Tribolium castaneum: one gene and its partner. The protein of the gene in region 1 purifies or fractionates together with the protein of each later gene. This does not show direct contact. Links are inferred from orthologs where the notes say so. Each region holds a gene or a part of one and is shown in the gene's direction. Other genes may lie near its edges. The genes, in order: enkurin and armadillo segment polarity protein.

Region 1 (3,130 bases):
TAAAATGTAAATTTAAATTTATATTCTAAGCTTTCATTTTGAAATAATAATGCTTAATCCAAGGTTTTTCCAAATAAAATCTTTATTTAAAAAAATCGAAACTAACCTAAATCCTAAGAAGACTAAGTATAATACAATAAATTGTTTAACAATTTTAGGGAAATTATGTGAAATTAGTTAGTTTTCGTGCGAAAAAGCAACGTAATTTTCAATCTTTATTGGTTTTCTTTTAGTCTATTATTGCTGAGTAAAATTTCGCGAGAATAGTGAATTTTTAATTGGAAAATGTGCTCCAGCATTTGAAAAAGAAAAAAATAATATCACTAATAAATTAATTCGTAATTACACAGAATTGTTAGGGAAATTTCGCAAAACAAGTAAGTTTCTCACTTATCGATAAATTATAAATGAGTTAAAACTGACGAAATAGATCAAAATAAAAATACAAATAAAACAAAATCACTAAGAACAAGCCCAAAGAATTAATAACTAATTTCGACTTAATTTAGTCATTTTTGAATAAAGTGTACAAAGAACTGAGTCCTCTCTCAAAAACAAGATAAAATTGAACAAAAAAGGCCCAAAATAATGTAATTTTCGACCTTTATTTGTAGCTTTTTTTATGCATCGCTATTTTGGAATGACTAGAAATCAGAAAATTTCGATTTTATTTTTTGTTTAATTATGTAATTTCATTATTTAATTAATAATATTAAATATTATTAGTTGAATAATAAATTTACTATAAATTTTATAGTAAGGAATTGTAGAAAAATTCTTAATTCAAACGAAGAGAGATTTATGTATACTTAGTTTTTAATAAGTAAATTAATTTAATTAAATTAAATAAATTATTGAACAAAGAAATAAATGATTACTTACAGGACAATAATGCCTTGTCTGCCCGCAAATTTGAAATACTTGGAATATTTGTAAATTAGTTTCTTATATTGGGGTGAGTTAGATAATAATTATAATTATCAGAAATTATGTAGTTTAACTTTGGGGTCTGTCTATAAAGAGGGTTTATCTTTAGATCAGTAAAAACTTCTTTAAGTCTTCGTCAGTTCTTATGTAAAGAGATAAAAACTAAAATCTTTTGTATAATAAATTTTAAATAAAACAGTAACTCGGAGTCAGAATCATTTTCCAGGATTGTATTACATTTATAAGAGACACTCATACAATAAAATTTAAAAAAAATGACCAAATAAGTTTATTTGGACGCAGAGAATAAATTTATCCCAAGGTCTTAACAAGACAATAATGCCTTGTCTGCAAATTGCAATACTTGGAATATTTGTAAATTAATGTCTTATATTGAGGTGAGTTAGATAATAATTACAATTATCAGAAATTATGTAGTTTAACTTTGGGGTCTGTCTATAAAGAGGGTTTATCTTTAGATCAGTAAAAACTTCTTTAAGTCTTCGTCAGTTCTTATGTAAAGAGATAAAAACTAAAATCTTTTGTATAATAAATTTTAAATAAAACAGTAACTCGGAGTCAGAATCATTTTCCAGGATTGTATCACATTTATAAGAGACACTCATACAATAAAATTTAAAAAAAATGACCAAATAAGTTTATTTGGACGCAGAGAACAAATTTATCCCAAGGCCTTAACAAGACAATAATGCCTTGTCTGCAAATTGCAATACTTGAAATATTTGTAAATTAGTTTCTTATATTGAGGTGAGTTACATAATAATTAAAATTATCAGAAATTATGTAGTTTAACTTTGGGGTCCGTCTACAAAGAGGGTTTATCTTTAGATCAGTAAGAACTTCTTTAAGTCTTCGTAAGTTCTTATGTAAAGAAATAAAAACTAAGTTCTTTTGTATAATAAATTTTAAATAAAACAGTAACTCGGAGACAAAATCATTTTCCAGGATTATAAGAGACACTAATACAATAAAATTTAAAAAAAATGACCAAATAAGTTTATTTGGACGCTGAGAACAGATTTAATCCAAGGTCTTAACTTTTAAAAAGGTATATCTCGTTAAAAACGCTGAAACAATTTTTAGTTATGTCATAAGAATTTTTAACTAAGTTGGATGCCCACAAGATCATCTGAGACTTTTAAATCACCTGTGTAAAAAAAATCGCTACAAAACCTGTTTTTTTTTCAAATTGATTTTTTAAATAAATTTTTATTGCAGGGACTGAAACACAACTGGGAGGAATTACAGAAACAATACCAGGGCCTGCCCATTTTAACGGACACTATCCCCAAAATAAACAGAAAATCGAAACTAGAAGCGGAACTAAAGCAATTAGAAAAAGATATAGTACTAGTGGAAAGACATCCTTATATTTATGTATACGACGATAACATACTATCTGTAAATTAATAAAATAATTGTATAAATTGTAAGGTTGGAGGTTAACGAAATTTGGGACGGTACTAAATCAATTTACTCGGAACAGAAAAATCATTTTCTTTTAGTAACACTTGAAACACTATCCTTAAAAGTAAACGTAGTTTATAAATTACAAAAGAAACACTAATTTTCTTATCAATTTTTGTTCCTTATCCTCCTATTGCATACCTGAAACAACATACTCACACACACTGCTAACACGTAAAAAATGCTTACATTCACGAACACCTTCGTTTGTTCACATATAAATAAACTGGAATCTGGAAAAAATAAAACACGTCAATAAAACACGTAATTATTACACTAGTGATTAAATACCTGCACAGGGCTTGCGGTAATGACGAGATTATCGGCCCATAACCTTGTGAATTGTCATAAAGCTCAAAGAGAGGTGCGGCTACCAATTTGTAGTTTTTCGGAACGGCAAAAAGTGCTGTAAAATATGTGAAAAATAAGCAGATGTAACGAGTCGTTGGTGAAAATTGAAGGAAAGAAAAAAGCTACACAAAACGTAAAATTCATGTTAACTTTTCAATTGAATAATACATCACATGTGTACAGCCATGCATTCAGACTTAAAAATAAACATAAACAATATCACATTTTACAGAATTAAGCTCGTTTTGAAACACAACTGTTTCAGTCAAGCAATTTATATTCCCAATAGTGTTTTTTTCAACTGCTTGTTTTTGAACAAATTAACCGCGGAGGACTAATTTATTAGTTTTTTTTTTTATAGAAA
Region 2 (3,837 bases), on another chromosome or scaffold:
ATGTTACGATATAAATATAAATAATAAATACTTTTGTAACTTATCTTCAATAAGAAGCAGTAATTTTTTTTATTATTTGTTTAGTGGTCACTGATCAGTAAGGCCCAATAGTGTGTCTGCGACTTTTGATGTACCCGATTTTGCTTTTTATTTTTGCTTTACTTTTAAGGATCTCATTTTATTTTGCTGACCATCACATAACAAAATACAATACTAGTATAAAAAATAATAATCGTATTTTCAATTTAATTTCTTTTTATTCCTTTAGTTAATTACTGGTATTATTTTAGAATATAAATTTTTATTTTTCTAGAGGTGAAGAAAATTTCAATTGTTTTCTATTTTTTATAAAAGCGGCACTCATTTTTGATTTTCAATTTTGAACAGCAATTTATTCTTATTAGTTATTAACTTATTACTTAGGGCCATTTTCATAACCATAATAAGGATTATTAAATTAAATGTTGCTTATAAAGTGCTCGTTTTTACGATTTGTTGACAAACTTTACACATTTTAATAATTTAATTTAATGCTCTTTTAAATTCGGTTATGAAACTGGCCCGTCATCATAAAAATAAGTAAGACTTCTGATAACTAGTCCATCAAATTCAAATTATACGGGGTTAAATAACTAAGAATCTTTTTTTATTGTTTAAAATTGAATTTTAAAGTCAATGCCAAGGGTTGCGAAAGAGAAGAATAGAATTTTCGCCTGAGACATGTGCTTATCTAAAGCTAAAGTGCTACTTATAACAGTCCTTATCGGGATATTACCAGCGTTATTAAATATAATTATGTATGAGATTCGTTTATTTTTGTTTCCTCATGCAAATAGGGGATTATCCCGACCATCAGCACATGTTGAAATTCCCTTTGTTGGTTTCGCACGAACACGTAATAATGACCACGTCACTTCCAACCCATGAACAACTCGCAAACAAATGTACTAGGGGATTGCATCCTCTTTAATAATCCACTTATACTTTGTAATCGTGAGTTCCCATTAATAAACTCCCAAGTTTTTACCCCCTTCATTACTATGTATTCAAGCTGGATTTTCTCTCATGTAAGTCTCAAAGTGACACAGTTATTTTTGTCCAGTCTCGCAGAGCCACTATCAGGGGGGCCCCGGTGATTTACCCATGCCGCCCGCGAAAGAACAGACCCTCATGTGGCAACAAAACTCGTACATGGGCGACTCCGGCATCCACTCCGGAGCCGCCACCCAGGTACCATCCCTGAGCGGGAAGGAAGAAGACATGGACCTCTTTGACTTGGATCAAGGATACTCCCAAGGCTTCACCCAGGATCAGGTCGACGAAATGAACAACCAGCTCAACCAGACGCGCTCGCAGAGGGTCAGAGCTGCCATGTTTCCGGAGACTTTGGACGAAGGGATCGAAATCCCCTCGACTCAGTTCGATCCCAGCCACCAGACGGCCGTTCAAAGGCTCTCCGAGCCGAGTCAAATGCTCAAACATGCAGTCGTCAATCTAATCAATTATCAAGACGACGCGGATTTGGCGACTCGTGCCATCCCCGAGCTGATCAAACTATTGAACGACGAAGACCAAGTGGTTGTTTCGCAAGCCGCGATGATGGTCCACCAGCTCTCCAAGAAAGAGGCTTCGAGGCACGCGATCATGAACAGTCCGCAAATGGTGGCAGCGCTAGTGAGGGCCATTTCCAACTCGAATGACCTGGAAACGACCAAAGGTGCAGTCGGCACCTTGCACAAATTATCGCACCATCGGCAAGGTCTCCTGGCCATCTTCAAAAGCGGGGGAATTCCAGCATTGGTCAAACTGCTGAGCTCCCCGGTTGAAAGTGTGCTCTTTTACGCCATCACCACCTTGCACAATTTATTGCTTCACCAAGACGGCTCCAAAATGGCCGTCCGCTTAGCCGGAGGCTTGCAAAAAATGGTCGCGTTGTTGCAACGAAACAACGTCAAGTTCTTGGCAATTGTGACCGACTGTTTGCAAATCCTGGCGTACGGCAACCAGGAGAGCAAACTGATTATTCTGGCATCGCAAGGTCCCATCGAACTCGTGAGAATCATGCGGTCGTACGACTACGAGAAGTTGCTCTGGACGACGTCCCGAGTCTTGAAAGTCCTATCCGTGTGTCCGAGCAACAAGCCGGCCATCGTCGAAGCCGGCGGCATGCAAGCCCTGGCCATGCACCTGGGGAACCCCAGCGGCCGCCTCGTGCAGAACTGCCTCTGGACCTTGCGTAACCTCTCCGATGCCGCGACCAAAGTCGACGGTCTCGAAGGCTTGCTCAGTTCCCTGGTGCAGGTTTTGAACTCGCAAGACGTCCACGTCGTTACTTGCGCTTCTGGTATTTTGTCTAACCTGACGTGTAACAACCAACGCAACAAAGTCACCGTTTGCCAAGTCGGTGGTGTTGATGCCCTTGTGCGCACAATTGTGAGCGCTGGGGATCGTGAGGAGATCACAGAACCGGCCGTTTGCGCTTTGCGACATCTCACGTCGAGACATGTGGAGTCGGAAATGGCGCAAAATGCAGTCAGGTTGAATTACGGTATTCAAGTTATCGTGAAGTTGTTGAATCCGCCATCGCGTTGGCCGCTAGTCAAGGCCGTTATCGGGCTTATCAGGAATTTAGCGCTGTGTCCGGCCAATCATGCACCACTAAGGGAGCATGGGGCGATACATCATTTGGTGCAGCTGCTGATGAGGGCCTTCCAGGACACACAGAGGGTAAGACATTGCAGTTACTTATTGTATCTGTTACGGCTAGTGTGTAAACTTGGCTAGTTTGTAAACTAGTCAGACCATTCGCTATTTTAATAGAAAACACAGTTTCAACTAAAATAGCGGCTAGTTTACAAATTAGCCAAGAATCTTTGCTATTTTACTGGAAAGATAAAATAACTGAATAGTTTATAGATTATTCTAAGACATTCTGGCTAGGTAATATGAATACCATACTTTATCGTAATACAAAATATCCAATTTATATAAGTTTATTTGTTTATTTAAATTACGGACACAATCATATTTGAGACTTTTAATAAACACCGGTTTTTTTTCTTAATTCTTCTTGTGCTACGACAGCATTTTCGATCTTAAGGGTGGGTATACAATATTTAACGGTTCTATTTTGTTTTCACTTATTAAACTTTTTTATTCTCATTATTATTCTGTAACTTACTTCGTATAGTACTTACGCCTGTTTTATATAATTATTGATTTGAAGTTTTTGCTAATAAATGAGAGCTTTGAGCTTTAAACTAGAACCATTTCTGGTCTAGATAACTTGACCTCAGGATTTCTTTTCAATTTCTACTTTTGAAGATTTACATATTACACACAATAAAAAATTAAAATTGAATTTTTAATATATTATGGTTCAGTATTTTATTTGCTTCTCTTTTTTGTAAGATTTTTGGACTTCAAGGGCAAGCTTGTAGAAGTATTTTTTTGAAACTGTTTGTAATATTCGGAATTATTTATGAAGAATTGCAATTAGATAATTTTTTCATTACAATTAATGAAGCCTCTAACTTACAGTTAGAATCTTAGGGTGTTATAGAAGTTAATTTTAGCATCAACTATGTTGAATAGTTTTTCTTCTTGGAAGGTAAATTTTCATTCTATCTGTCAAGTAAATTAGCCAAGAATTTTGGCTAGTTTACTAACTAGCCAAGGTTACACATTAGCCATAACATAACTACCTTTTCGGATTAAATGAGAAACAAATTCGTTTTATTATTGGGTGTTTGAGCTTGTGAGAGCCAAAAACTCTCCAATAACATTCTGAATTAAACAAAACTATTATGTTTATTAAGGGTAGTCTAACTCTCCGAT

What was found.
Region 2: the proteins of enkurin (region 1) and armadillo segment polarity protein purify together in Homo sapiens (affinity purification with western blotting; 3 studies listed by BioGRID). This does not show direct contact. The link is inferred for Tribolium castaneum from reciprocal best matches to the Homo sapiens genes ENKUR and CTNNB1.

What each region holds. Positions count from the first base shown.
Region 1 is NC_087394.1:7,008,658-7,011,787, reverse strand, and holds the end of enkurin, read left to right. Parts: intron 1-2,166; coding exon 2,167-2,358; 3' UTR 2,359-2,381; downstream 2,382-3,130. Other genes in the region: Cpsf5 (cleavage and polyadenylation specificity factor subunit 5), read right to left, coding at 2,627-2,648, 2,707-2,821. UniProt on the Homo sapiens protein: Adapter that functions to localize a calcium-sensitive signal transduction machinery in sperm to a calcium-permeable ion channel.
Region 2 is NC_087395.1:16,178,640-16,182,476, forward strand, and holds part of armadillo segment polarity protein, read left to right. Parts: intron 1-1,102; coding exon 1,103-2,727; intron 2,728-3,837. UniProt on the Homo sapiens protein: Key downstream component of the canonical Wnt signaling pathway.